3 linked regions of the Saccharomyces cerevisiae S288C genome follow. The gene in region 1 interacts genetically with each later gene. Each region holds a gene or a part of one and is shown in the gene's direction. Other genes may lie near its edges.

The links. Genes that interact genetically often act in the same process or in processes that back each other up.
Region 2: of PPH22 (region 1) and OMA1, a mutation in one rescues a mutant of the other (synthetic rescue), as found in Saccharomyces cerevisiae (one study listed by BioGRID).
Region 3: mutations in PPH22 (region 1) and RTS1 together harm fitness more than expected from each alone (negative genetic interaction), as found in Saccharomyces cerevisiae (3 studies listed by BioGRID, with this or other methods).

Annotation. Positions count from the first base shown.
Region 1 is NC_001136.10:122,185-126,707, reverse strand, and holds PPH22 (phosphoprotein phosphatase 2A catalytic subunit PPH22), read left to right. Parts: upstream 1-1,709; coding exon 1,710-2,843; downstream 2,844-4,523. Other genes in the region: YDL186W (uncharacterized protein), read right to left, coding at 259-1,092; RBS1 (Rbs1p), read right to left, coding at 3,119-4,492. UniProt on the Saccharomyces cerevisiae protein: Exact function not known, phosphatase 2A performs an essential cellular function.
Region 2 is NC_001143.9:602,549-607,136, reverse strand, and holds OMA1 (metalloendopeptidase), read left to right. Parts: upstream 1-2,904; coding exon 2,905-3,942; downstream 3,943-4,588. Other genes in the region: TGL4 (triacylglycerol lipase), read left to right, coding at 1-1,504; TVP38 (Tvp38p), read left to right, coding at 1,719-2,732; DEAH-box RNA helicase PRP16, read right to left, coding at 4,065-4,588. UniProt on the Saccharomyces cerevisiae protein: Protease that is part of the quality control system in the inner membrane of mitochondria. Activated in response to various mitochondrial stress, leading to the proteolytic cleavage of target proteins, such as OXA1 and COX1.
Region 3 is NC_001147.6:354,512-360,593, forward strand, and holds RTS1 (protein phosphatase 2A regulatory subunit RTS1), read left to right. Parts: upstream 1-3,162; coding exon 3,163-5,436; downstream 5,437-6,082. Other genes in the region: YOR011W-A (uncharacterized protein), read left to right, coding at 1,141-1,347; YOR012W (uncharacterized protein), read left to right, coding at 2,032-2,445; YOR015W (uncharacterized protein), read left to right, coding at 5,482-5,841; ERP4 (Erp4p), read right to left, coding at 5,950-6,082. UniProt on the Saccharomyces cerevisiae protein: The B regulatory subunit might modulate substrate selectivity and catalytic activity, and might also direct the localization of the catalytic enzyme to a particular subcellular compartment. Multicopy suppressor of ROX3 and HSP60.

The DNA of each region.
Region 1 (4,523 bases):
TGCTTTGAGAAATGTGTTTGGTACTTTTTATTCTAATCAACGTAGTAATCAAAATGTTGCAACCTTATCGAAAGAGCCATTTCTTGTTTTCAGCTTTTAATCCAGTGTGAGACCCCTTTGAGCGGCCGTGGAAAAAGATGTGAAAAAAAAAAAAAAAAAAAAAAAAAAAAGAAAAAGGAAAAAGAAAAAGAACAATACAATAAGGTTATGCTAGGAATAAAAAGAACAATAGATAGGACTATAGAAGCAAAGTGGAGTCTAATCGTGGTGGCAAAAAAATATTCTCGCCCAATTGGAGTCTGTACAGCATTGAAATGCCGATGAAGAGTCTACATACTGCTGCTGTTGCCGCTGTTGTTGTTGCTGTTGTGTTTGCCGTACAGACATGGAGTGGTTCAAGTTTAAGGTATCTAGGTAGCTGACAGGAATAGGATTGGAATAAACATCTCGATAGATAGAGAGTTCTTCGCCGTCCCCAATTTCAATGACTTTTCTTTCTGCTGGGTTTTGTTTTGTTCGAGTAGGAGCTTCGTACGGGAAAAGCACCGGTGTTTGCACTTGATGTTCGCTGTTCCTGGTTGACATATCATTTGGGCTTAGGTGAAATGAGAAGAGATCTTCTTCGAAAAGCTGCAACTCTTGGTCATCTTGACTCGCACTGTGTTCGGTTCGTACACCTTCTTCCTCGTCACGAAAAAACATTTTGGAATTGCGTTTCCACCAATCGGTAAACGATTCTACAATGGAACGCACGGATTCATCTCTCTTTGTTGAACCAAATGGATCCGATCTTCTCGAGTTGAATTGTGCTGTGCTAAGCTGATATGGATGCGTGCCATTAATAGCTTCAATTGCGCCACGATGTGAAGATGCAGGTGGCCTCCATTTTACAAGTACGTCCTCCATTTTTCCCACAAATACATTTTCTTCTCTTCTTCTTCTGCTTTTTTGTTTCGAAATCACGAGTTGCCTCACAGAGGGGAACTCACTTCTTGGTAAGAATCTGTTTTGAGCCTCCGCTTCAGGGCTGTAGGATGGGAAAGTTATGTCGCCCCCATCTAAACCATCTTCTATACTTGTGTTACACTGCATATTTTTCTAATATTTCTTGGCTATCTGTAAGCAAATCTACATCCAGGAATAGAGTCCACAAGTATATTCCATATAAAAGCACAGAACTACGAAGTGTCGCAAATTAGTTGTTTTTTTGGGAACTTGAACCCATACACCGCACCAAATTATTACAATATTTTGTGACACAGGACAGAATATTAATAAAAGAAGCGAAACTCTATTCTCCTAAAACTTCTTCTTGCGGAATTATGTATCAATTAATGCTAAGATTAATCCAAAAGCTTATACGACAACAATAGTCGTTGTGCACTTTGAAATACAATCGTGTATTACCCTGACATGACCGGGTAATCTAGAAGAGGTTATTATTTTCTTTTCCGCTGAATTGTGGAAAAGAGTCGTGGAAAGTTTCAAAGGGACATCCCCATTTTATAAAACCAATTGAAGGGCTGTAACTAGAGCAAACTTCTTAAGGTACCAGCCCGCTGCAAAACAGTGTTCGAACAAGAACACGCAAACCCGTTTACTTCTTGTCCTACCTGCTCTCTTTCCTTTCCGGTTATTGTTCCTGTTACGTCTTTTTTTGAATTTTATATTATTGGCACTTCTGTATAACTGGCTTTCATTCGAAAAAAATGGATATGGAAATTGATGACCCTATGCATGGTTCAGATGAAGATCAATTATCACCGACTCTCGACGAAGACATGAATAGTGATGACGGCAAAAATAATACGAAGGCGCGTTCTAATGACGAAGACACAGATGAAGAGTTGGAAGATTTTAATTTTAAACCGGGGTCCTCGGGTATAGCAGATCATAAATCCTCCAAACCACTAAAACTGACCAATACAAATATAAATCAGCTTGACCAATGGATTGAGCATTTGAGTAAATGCGAGCCACTATCAGAAGACGATGTAGCACGACTATGTAAAATGGCGGTGGACGTGTTGCAGTTCGAGGAGAATGTTAAACCAATTAACGTGCCTGTTACCATTTGTGGTGACGTACACGGTCAATTCCATGACTTGTTAGAACTTTTCAAGATTGGTGGTCCTTGTCCTGACACCAATTACCTTTTCATGGGTGATTACGTGGATAGAGGATATTATTCTGTTGAGACCGTATCTTACCTAGTTGCCATGAAAGTCAGATATCCACATAGAATTACTATACTTAGGGGCAATCACGAGTCTAGGCAGATTACCCAAGTATATGGGTTTTATGACGAATGTTTGAGAAAGTACGGCAGTGCGAACGTGTGGAAAATGTTTACCGATCTATTCGATTATTTCCCCGTTACTGCCTTGGTGGATAATAAAATCTTCTGTTTGCATGGAGGTCTCTCACCCATGATAGAGACAATAGATCAAGTTAGAGATTTAAATAGAATACAGGAAGTGCCTCACGAAGGTCCAATGTGTGACCTTCTATGGTCCGATCCTGATGATAGAGGCGGATGGGGAATCAGTCCGAGAGGTGCAGGCTTCACTTTTGGTCAAGACATCAGTGAGCAATTCAATCACACTAATGACCTATCACTAATAGCAAGAGCTCACCAATTGGTAATGGAAGGATATTCTTGGTCTCACCAGCAAAATGTTGTCACCATTTTCAGTGCTCCAAATTATTGTTATAGATGTGGTAACCAGGCCGCTATTATGGAGGTGGATGAAAACCATAATAGGCAATTCTTACAATACGATCCATCTGTGAGACCCGGTGAACCAACCGTCACCAGGAAGACACCGGATTATTTCTTATAATATATATCTATTACACCTTTATCCTTACTACGCTATTTCATTCCAACATACATTTATTTTTTTTTTTTTTTTAATATATATTTAGTTACTTTTTCCCTCTAATTTTTGATAATAACAACTTATATACAAACATACAAACTATTTTTTCGTTTTCAAATACTTATTTTTTCGAACACAAAGTGAAAACAACTTTTTCTCATATATTACTGTTCTCATACTAGAATTTCTATAAACCGTTACGTAATTTTTTCGCTATGTATAGTTCACTCCTCACGCTAAATGTTTAATTTATCAAATTTCATCTCTACCGAATCAGTATCCCTAGATGACGGCGAACCCTCAACACTAGCCCTACGAATTCCCTCATTCTTATTACTGTTACTGTCATCACTACGTTTCGGAATCGCACCAGAATATGAATTTTTTCCTTGAAAATGGTGGTACTTATTTGCTGAGGATCTTGTGTAATTGTTAGAATTATAGCTTGGTGTATTGCTATATGGCCCGCTGTGATACTGAGTGTTATATTGGTATTGATATTGATATTGGTATGGGGGATACATAGGGATTGGGGTGCCAAACGAACAGGACCCTTGGGGATTCATATTGTACATGTAAGGGTTCATGAAGACTGTGTTATTGCCCATTACCATGGGTGAAGGTGCAGGACCGGGGGCAGGACCAGCGGGGTTATACATTAGAGGGTAGGTTGGCAGACTATTGCCACCCATTTGGGGAGGAGGATACACAAGATATGGCGAAGAATATCCCGATTGGTAACCGCCGTTTTCTTTATTCCGACGACTTTGGCCTCTATAGGCATCTTTGTAATTGTTTGTTCCTCTTCTTCTTCCTCCTCTTCCTCTTCGACTATCATAAAATTGTTGTTGAGGTTTGTTTACTTGTATCGTCGTCACAGATGAATTGAATGGTGATGAAGAGCTAACTGAACCGTTACTAGTTTGTGTGTTAGAGTCATCTCCGTTCAACCAATCACTCCATTCATTGTCACTATCACTACTACCGCTACTGTTGGTTGACTTTACATCGTCTTCACTCTTGTTGAGCTTATCAAAAATTTCTTGTTTACGTTGTTCATAAAGTCTTTCCTTCTCAATTCTTTCTTGTTCCAAATCAGTACTAGATTTATCATCGATTTCGATTTTTTGGTCCTTATTTGAATTGGCTGTCAAATTGCTATTTGGTGTACGTGTATTGCCATCGATTTTATAATCGCACTCGTTACCTACCTCTTTCCGCTTTAAGATTCGAAATATTCTGTTATTGTTCGATTTTTCAATACTCTCACTTGAGGAAGCACACTCTTCCGGTTTTTTGTTCAGCTGCAACTCTTGTAAGAGTGGCTTTCCTTCAATCTTTTGGAAATTCTCACCTTTGAAAAGAATCACACAACTATCTTGAGTTCTTGCCAAAACATGGTTCAAGTTGTGGTACTCAGCTATTTGGTGCGATAGAAGCCTATAATATGAATTCATCGGTCTTAGCTGAAATGATTCTGTGTTTGAGTTTATGAATGACACTATGGAATTTTCCAGCTCTATTATAAAGATACGGTCCTGTGGTTTCTGGAACAAGCCCGTTTCCATAGCGGGTGTCAATCCCCAGTTTCGAGAATCTAGTGCTGTCATCACCTACTTCTGCCCTAACTCCTTATATACT
Region 2 (4,588 bases), on another chromosome or scaffold:
TTTATTTGAACAACCGCGCTTGCTGAATAATTTGACTGCACCAAACGTCCTGATTTGGTCCGCCGTATGTGCATCATGTTCACTACCGGGAATTTTCCCCTCGAGCCCACTTTACGAAAAAGATCCAAAAACGGGAGAAAGGAAACCATGGACTGGTAGTAGTTCGGTCAAATTTGTCGATGGTTCTGTGGACAATGACTTGCCCATTTCTCGTCTTTCTGAAATGTTTAATGTAGACCATATTATCGCATGCCAGGTGAATATTCACGTATTTCCCTTTTTGAAACTATCACTATCCTGTGTTGGCGGGGAAATTGAGGACGAATTTAGTGCAAGATTAAAGCAAAACTTATCAAGTATATACAATTTTATGGCCAATGAAGCTATTCATATTCTAGAAATTGGAAGTGAGATGGGAATTGCCAAAAACGCGCTTACAAAACTGAGATCGGTATTATCTCAACAATATTCTGGTGACATCACTATTTTGCCCGACATGTGTATGCTTTTTAGAATAAAGGAGCTGTTGTCAAACCCAACAAAAGAATTTTTATTAAGGGAAATCACCAATGGTGCAAAAGCTACGTGGCCCAAGGTTTCCATTATTCAAAATCACTGTGGCCAGGAATTTGCTCTGGATAAGGCGATTTCTTATATCAAAGGTAGGATGATTGTCACCTCCTCTTTAAAAACCCCCTTCCAATTTGCTGATTCAGTCATTGGATTAATTAAAGCTCCAGAGCAAACGTCAGATGAGTCCAAAAACCCAGAAAATTCAACATTGCTAACTAGGACTCCAACCAAGGGTGACAATCATATTTCCAATGTTTTAGATGACAACTTATTAGAATCAGAATCGACAAACTCTTTGCTATTGTTACGTGAGAATGCAAGCACATATGGGCGGTCACCTTCCGGGTTTAGACCGCGGTATTCCATTACGTCCGCTTCTCTCAATCCGCGTCACCAAAGAAGGAAATCAGATACTATTTCAACTTCAAGGCGACCAGCCAAATCCTTTTCATTTTCAGTTGCTTCTCCCACATCAAGGATGTTGAGGCAATCCAGCAAAATCAATGGACACCCACCGCCAATTCTGCAGAAAAAAACAAGTATGGGCCGGCTAATGTTTCCTATGGATGCCAAGACCTATGACCCGGAAAGCCATGAACTTATCCCACATTCTGCCAGCATTGAAACACCTGCCATGGTAGACAAGAAATTGCATTTTGGCCGAAAGAGTAGATACTTGAGGCATATGAACAAAAAATGGGTCAGCAGTAGCAACATATTATACACAGATTCGGATAAAGAAGACCATCCTACATTGAGACTGATAAGTAACTTCGATTCAGACGCAATGATTCATAGTGATTTAGCGGGCAATTTCAGGCGTCATAGCATTGATGGAAGACCCCCTTCTCAAGCTACAAAGAGCTCACCGTTTCGATCGAGGCCTTCTTCTTCAACGCAGCACAAAAGCACCACCAGTTTTACTCAATAAGAAAACACGGGCTTGCTTATATATCCTCTAGATATTCTTTTTCATCTATGTATTTATTCGAATGGCCTTTCTCATTCATATCATTTTCAAAGCGGAAATCGAAATCATTGTTTTCTCTCGAGCTGCACTAAGAAAAAAAGCCACTTTACTAAAACAATACCTTCAACATATTTGAAAATATTATTATGGTGGAAGAAAGATATTGGTTACACAAATGAGTCAGTCTTACGAAGCAGGAAATGCCAATATGGGCCAAGGGGAGGATGATGAATTTGATGGCTATTTCGAAGACTTTGACAACGATATCATGCCAAATAGTAATAATGGACAAAGGGTTGGTACTAATGCTGGATTGTCATTCAATGACGAAGTAAATGTTAATGATGATGATTTTTTAGACATTTATAATATGTCCCCTAGAGAGAGATTGATGCATAATATCAGGAAGAATGTTCAAAAATTACAGTTTTATTTTTATTCACTACGCTTATGGCAACAGATTATCATTGTCCTCCTCGGCATAATGCTAATGATAATGGGTATATTGTTGCTCGTCTTCCATAATGCGATTTTACATAAAGTTGTTGTTACTTCGAACGATTTGAGAGAAAAGATGTCAACACATTTTATATTAATGGTTCTGATATTCTTTGTCGCATTTCCTCCTATGATTGGCTACTCCTTATTATCCACCACTACTGGGTTGATCTATGGTGTCAGTTTTGAGGGATGGGTTACGCTAGCTTTGGGATCTGTAACAGGTTCCATTGCCTCTTTCGTTGTGTTCAAGACGATCTTGCATTCAAGAGCAGAAAAGCTTGTGCATTTGAATAGAAGATTTGAAGCATTGGCTTCAATTTTACAAGAAAACAATAGCTATTGGATTCTAGCTCTACTGAGATTATGTCCCTTCCCATATTCTTTGACTAATGGTGCCATAGCTGGTGTTTACGGTATCTCGGTACGCAACTTTTCCATTGCCAACATAATAACCACACCAAAGCTGTTCATCTATCTATTTATAGGTTCTCGTGTAAAGAGTCTCGCAGAATCTGAATCTACAGGATCTAGGGTATTTGACTTGGTAAGCATTATTATCACATTATTAATCCTAAGTCTTACAGCATGGCTCTTATACTTCAAGACTAAGAAGAGATATTTAGAACTACAAAACCGCGACCGTCAAGTGTCCACTGATCAACTACCTGAATTGTCTTTTGAGGTCTAATCCTCCGTATACGTTTATATATGTTTAGATAAGTTGGTTTTATATGGGTAACCCAAATTACTATTTCTACTTCTTTCTACGTCCGATATAAAGAACTTAAAAGACAAAAAGCAGTTTTTCGAAGCGACATCAACCAATCTAAGTTAAGGTATGGAAAGATAAAATACAAGAAATGTTACGCAACATCATCAGGTTCAAAGGATTTGGAAAAGGGACCAGTGGAGGATTTTTAAAACCTGTATCATTTCGTGTTCAGTTAACGCGATGTTACCGCTATGACAATGGTCCTTCATATCGTCGATTTAATAATGGAGAGTATTCCCAAAAATCATCGTTTAAAAGCATTCTTCTCGATAAGTCATCAAGAAAATACTTAGCTTTATTATTTGGTGGATGCTCTCTCTTTTATTATACACATTTGGATAAAGCACCGGTAAGCGATAGGTCCAGGTTCATCTGGGTATCGCGTCCATTAGAGTTAACTATCGGAAATTACACATACAAATCAATTTGGAGACAAACGCAGCAGGAAATATTACCTCCACAGCATCCGCTGTCCATCAAAATTGAGAATATTTTCATGAAAATTGTCGAAGCTGCTTATAAGGACCCTAGTGTAGACAACTCACTACTGGACGGAATCAAGTGGGAAATTCATGTGGTCAATGATCCAACTGCTTCACCAAATGCATTCGTTTTACCAGGGGGTAAGGTCTTTATATTCAGCTCTATTTTACCTATTTGTGCTAATGATGATGGGATTGCCACTGTTTTAGCACACGAATTTGCTCATCAGCTAGCAAGACACACAGCCGAAAATTTGTCGAAGGCTCCTATATATTCTCTTTTGGGTTTGGTGTTATATACTGTTACTGGAGCTCATGCTATCAACAATATACTATTGGATGGGTTTTTGCGAATGCCAGCATCAAGACAGATGGAAACCGAAGCTGATTACATTGGCCTGATGATAATGTCAAGGGCATGTTTTCAACCACAGGAGTCAATAAAAGTGTGGGAAAGAATGGCAAATTTTGAAAAGCAAATGAATAGAGGGGGTGTTGTGAATATGGAGTTTCTAAGTACACATCCAGCAAGCACTCGTAGAATAGAGAATATGTCGAAATGGTTGCCAAAAGCTAATGAAATTTATGAACAATCTGATTGTAGCAGTATGGGTAACTATTATAAAAGTTTTTTCTCAATGTAAGCACTCCACGAGTTATGCTCTTTTCTTTTGTACCCAATAAATAACCCTTTGTTTTATGCATGCATATAACTATATAATAACATATATGAATATTTTGCCTATTAGCACGCTCTTCCCATAAACTAAAAAAAAGGCTTCCTTCTTTTGAAAGGTTTCATTGAATTTTCTTTGCCGTTCAGTATATTTTGCTTTTTCGTTTTTTGCTTTTTGTCTTCTTTGTTTGAATTGTCGGTCATTTTGAGCTCCTGTATCACACTGTCTCTCATATCCTTACATCTCCTAATATTGATATCAATATCATCTTCAACCTTGTCCAGAGTATGTTCATAGTGTTCACCAAAGAGGCCTGTAGTTGTGGCCTCCTGATCATTTTTAATACGCTTGATGTCGTAGAGTAACCCACCATATTCCATTAACCAGAATGGATCTACAGAAGTAACACAACAAATGTATTCTTTGCTAGTCATTAATAATTCATGATATACCACGTAAGGGGGTAAATCCCCCAATCCGTGTAATGCACTTGTAGGGTGTAGTTGAACACTTACGCCAGTTTTTAAATGAACGTAATTTCGTAGTCCTGTTATTTTGGCTGCTTGATGAGCAAATCCTGAACAAATACATTTTTTAATAATATCCCAGTCCT
Region 3 (6,082 bases), on another chromosome or scaffold:
CCTGAACTAACAGATATAATCAGCATCATGTTTTTTAAGCGAGAATACAGAAATATTCAAATTAAGATAGGCAACAAGGATTAGTTTAAATCTGAAAATCTTTTAAGATTAGGTACCTAATTTAGCTATATTGCTTTATGATTAGTTATAACGTCATTGGAGGAACAAACTATTGGAATAAGAATCGACTATAATCTACCGGCGAGTATTCATAAGCTATTATATTGTGGTAGACGGAGTAGAAAGATAAAAAAGGATTGAAAACAGTCATCTGATTTAATGGAAGCTGAAATGCAAGATTTAATAATGTAATAGGATAATGAATGACAACATAAAAAATAGAAGAAATAATAATAGTAACATTATGTGGAAATATGGGTTTCCTTGGCAGGTTCCTATATCCTTGAGAAAGAGCTTCTAATATATTTTGTATATTTAGTATTATAACTAAGCTGTTAGAAAATAAAATACCGCTAAATCAATTGAGGCGGTATTAAATACCTGTACATTTGAATATTTGGAATGAGAAAGAAATATAGTTACATAATGTACAAAAAAGAAGCAAGAAAGGAATATATATATATATATATATATATATATATATGTATATTGTTATTTAGAATATCTCTCTCTCTTCGAGAATCTCTATATCCTCGAAAAGAACTTTTAGCATATTCACGATAGGTCGTATTATCAATTAAATCAATTACGAAGTTCGGAAGTTATTGCCTACATAATATGATGTCCTGTTCATAAAAATAGAGCCCTAAGAAGTGTTATTAAATTTAACCAGCCTACAAATTAAATATAAAATGAGTGTTATTGTTCCACCGACTTGAATAATTGTACAACTTTAGCTAACATTTTAACTAATATTTTAACGCATCTTATTATCAAGTATTGTAACAATACGTATCATCTTACTATCTCAATGGAAGCATTCTCTTATACATACTGAGTCAAATATCTTGAAGACTCATTATAATGTGTAATAAAAGGACAAAGCAGCGTAGAAGCCTTAAATAACTATGCACTTGGACACATGTCTTCTCACGACGTGTTCAAATATAATGATTTTTCAATCAGCTTTGAAGTTCAATACAAACTTCTTCACTAAAGGATAATAAGCAATCATTATTAATGGCAAAATCGGTTTTCAATTTCTTTCATTTTGAAATATTGGAGTATTTAAACCGTTTTGTGTATCATTCACAATACTTTCTTCCATACTACTGCTCTCTTGAAGTTCTTGGGAAGAGCCGAAAAAATTGGACATTTCAATATTGGTGCTTATACATTACTACTGACAAGAAGATAATAAAAAAGAAAGATTTCTATCACCGATAGTGAGCTCTTTAGAAAACTGAACGCAATAAATTTTATGCCTCATAACGTCTTGGGGCGCGAGAATTTACTGACGTAAACAGATCCGGCTCAAAAAGTCGTCTTTACCTTTCTATCATCTCGTCGCATAATTATTAAATTAACTCACAATTTCTCACAATTTATATCATGCCTTTTTTGTCAGTTCGTGGCCTTGCCAGTGGAGATATAACAACTACTTCGTAAAGGGTCCCGAAAGAAATGAAAGAATTACTCATTTGATATAAAAATTTGCATGGTATAACAGAAGTGAAACGCGGGGACAACCATGATCTTTTTTGAGTAGGATAATTTTTTATGTCGGTTTGATATATTATAAAGCAAGTCATATATAATATCATACTGATTTTAACCAAACGATAATCAATCAGAAAAAGAAAATAAATAAAAAATCTAGCACATAGTATTTCAGTACCCTTATGGTTCTGACCTCAGAAATTATTCAGCCGCTTGTTATCTTATAGTACGTTTTATATCGTAATTTTCCTGACATTTTGGGCAGAAATCCTTTACTCCTGATATAATAAACGACGTTTTTTTTCCTGTGTTTTTTATGTTACTATAAGAAATGCAAAAAAAGAAACAATAGAAAAAGGCAGTGACAAAAATACTAATCAGAACGTTGAAAACAAATCAATAGTTTTGATAATGGTAGCATCATCGATCAATGAAGAATCCTCTTTGGCGGTAAACTTGACAAGCGATGTAGAGAAGGCTTCGAAAACTTTGTTTAAGGCATTCGAAAAGTCATACGCAAATGACTACTTGATGAAAAAGTTCTTCCATATCCCAATCACTGAAAAAGTTTCAAGGGCAAGAATAAATGCAATGATACATTACTACACGACGTGCTACCATGACTTGGATGGTGAAATTGCTGAGGCAAATGATTTCGATGCAGTCGCAATATGGAGCCGCCCTGGGTGCCACTTGCCTGCTACACTATCTGACGACGAGTCTTTCAATAAGATTTTTTTTTCACGACTTGACTGTGAGGAAGCACGAAGTCATGCCTCTGGGAATGGACTATTACTACCTTTATGCCATCGGAAAAGATCCTAGCCATCCCGAAATTAGAGGTTCAGTCAGAAAAATACTCGAAAAATATAAAACCAAAGCAGACAAGGCCAATTGCGCCCTTGCTCTCGAGGCTATTTCGGAGCACGCAAGATCTGTGTACGAATATTTCGGTTTCAAAACCTATTTGGTGTTTCAGTTCGGGGTTGGAGAAGTGAACTCCAAAGGAGAACCCGATCCGCAGGGGAAGGGATTCACGGCCTACTTGATGCTCTACCACAAAGATGCAGACACCATCTTTCACGCCTGATTTTCTTCTAAAAATTTTATAGACATTTATTGTATGTATGGAGCATATAGCAACAATAAAACTTAGACCAACATTTTTTGCCGGGTCACAACCCCCTATCCCGGCTGCGAGAAAGGAAAAAAAAAAGTATCAGACAATTGATTATCAAAGAGTATGTGAAACTACGCTTTGTTTTCCACTTCAATTGGTAGGCATGTCAATACGTCTCGTTTCTTCATTGGAAAACTCTTCATTTCAAGGATAAACCATCGTCGCCGTAAGTATTTTGGGTTTCATTTCCTTCCCCCCTCGATTTTGCTTTTTTTTCCTTTTTTTGTTAGATAAAAATATAAACCCTTCTCCATATACCTGTTCACCTCAATACCGTCTTTAACTGGCTTTTTTATTTTGTATAAAAGTTCTACTTATTAAGATCAATAGGCACGTGCTATTTTCGAACATCCACTTTCAATATGATGCGTGGTTTCAAGCAAAGATTAATAAAGAAGACCACCGGGTCTTCTTCTTCTTCAAGCAGTAAAAAGAAGGACAAAGAGAAGGAAAAAGAAAAAAGTTCCACTACCTCATCCACATCAAAGAAGCCCGCTTCGGCTAGTAGCTCTTCCCACGGGACTACTCACAGTTCTGCCAGCAGTACCGGATCAAAGTCTACAACTGAGAAGGGCAAGCAATCTGGTAGTGTTCCCTCGCAAGGGAAGCATCATAGTAGCTCTACATCAAAAACAAAAACAGCGACGACCCCTTCTTCCAGCAGCAGTAGCAGTAGAAGTTCAAGTGTCAGTCGCTCCGGTTCAAGCTCCACAAAGAAAACAAGTTCAAGAAAAGGACAAGAACAGTCCAAACAATCGCAACAGCCATCACAATCTCAAAAGCAAGGATCTTCTTCATCATCTGCCGCTATAATGAACCCCACTCCAGTACTCACTGTTACTAAGGACGACAAAAGCACTTCTGGTGAAGATCATGCACATCCTACTTTGCTGGGGGCAGTATCCGCTGTTCCATCATCTCCCATTTCAAATGCTTCAGGTACAGCAGTTTCTTCTGATGTAGAAAATGGTAATAGTAATAATAACAATATGAATATTAATACTAGTAATACTCAGGATGCAAACCACGCCTCCTCACAAAGTATCGACATTCCGAGATCATCACACTCATTTGAGAGACTACCAACACCCACAAAACTTAACCCTGACACAGATTTAGAGTTAATTAAGACTCCCCAACGTCATTCTTCATCTAGATTCGAGCCATCTAGATATACGCCATTAACGAAATTGCCAAATTTTAATGAAGTTTCTCCTGAAGAAAGAATCCCTTTGTTCATTGCCAAAGTTGACCAGTGTAACACTATGTTTGACTTTAATGATCCAAGTTTTGACATTCAAGGTAAAGAGATTAAAAGAAGCACCTTAGATGAGCTAATAGAATTCCTTGTAACAAATAGGTTCACTTACACGAATGAGATGTACGCTCATGTGGTGAACATGTTCAAAATCAATCTGTTTAGACCTATTCCACCACCAGTAAATCCAGTTGGTGACATTTATGACCCAGATGAAGATGAACCTGTTAACGAACTAGCCTGGCCTCATATGCAAGCTGTTTACGAATTCTTTTTAAGGTTTGTGGAAAGTCCTGATTTCAATCATCAGATTGCTAAACAATATATTGATCAGGACTTTATTTTAAAGTTACTGGAATTATTTGATAGCGAAGATATCAGAGAAAGAGACTGTTTGAAAACGACACTGCATAGAATATATGGGAAGTTCTTATCATTAAGAAGCTTTATTCGTCGGTCGATGAATAATATTTTTTTGCAATTTATTTATGAGACTGAGAAGTTTAACGGTGTGGCAGAATTGTTAGAAATTTTGGGTTCCATAATTAATGGATTTGCACTTCCATTAAAGGAAGAGCACAAGGTTTTCTTGGTGAGGATATTGATACCATTACACAAGGTCCGTTGTTTATCATTATACCACCCTCAGTTGGCTTACTGTATCGTTCAATTTCTCGAAAAAGATCCTTTATTAACCGAAGAGGTAGTTATGGGCTTACTGCGTTATTGGCCAAAAATAAATTCCACAAAAGAGATAATGTTTCTAAATGAAATCGAGGATATTTTTGAAGTGATCGAACCGCTGGAATTTATTAAAGTAGAAGTTCCGTTATTTGTTCAATTAGCTAAGTGTATTTCTTCTCCACATTTCCAAGTGGCGGAAAAGGTTTTAAGTTATTGGAATAATGAATATTTCTTAAACTTATGTATCGAAAATGCCGAAGTCATCCTACCCATTATATTTCCTGCATTATATGAATTAACTTCTCAGTTAGAGCTAGATACAGCAAATGGCGAAGATAGCATTTCAGACCCTTACATGCTTGTTGAGCAAGCAATCAATTCTGGTTCGTGGAATAGGGCAATTCATGCTATGGCATTCAAGGCATTGAAAATTTTTCTGGAAACAAACCCAGTATTGTACGAAAACTGTAATGCATTGTACTTATCAAGTGTAAAAGAAACTCAACAGCGTAAGGTGCAACGTGAAGAAAATTGGAGCAAACTTGAAGAATATGTAAAAAATCTAAGGATTAACAATGATAAGGACCAATACACAATCAAAAACCCAGAATTAAGAAACAGTTTCAACACAGCAAGTGAGAATAACACATTAAATGAAGAGAACGAAAATGATTGTGACAGCGAGATACAGTGAAACAGCAATTCATTACAAGCTCGAAGAAGTGAGGAAGTTTAGGGCATGCCACATTTCAAAAGAGCAGCAGTATATGAAGAGCAAAAAAGAACTGGTAAATGGGGTCAACTTGTTGAAGAAACCAAAGATAGAATCCCCGAATATTCGAACAAAACTATAGCAAAGATAAGCCACTTGGACAATGGTTGTTTGTGGCCTGAGATAAAGGTCTCTTTTTCTCATCATTTGAGCATACTTCAATCGATGTGTCTTCATTTTATTATTTCTATACTTTTCTCCAAATATATCTTCGTTTTTCTTTTCGCTTTCCTTCTTCCTTCTGCCTTTCCTCTATTTATTTTGCACTCCACTCTTTTCCGTAAACCTTGCCTATCTATTATTGGATTTTTGAAAACTAAAGTATAAAGGTATGTCATAAATAATTAAATAACAAAAAAAATAGGATCATGATACAAAAAAGTGCCTTCCCCTTAGCACAGCTGATCCAACAATTTTAAGAGCTTGAAAAGCAACCTATACGTAGTTTTTTTGGCGACTGGTAAAAAAGAACTGAATAATTAATGCCTGCACTATACTGATACCAACCATTACCCCCATAATTAGTAATGAGAGCCATGTTAATCTTGACTCAGTAGAACTCACAGTA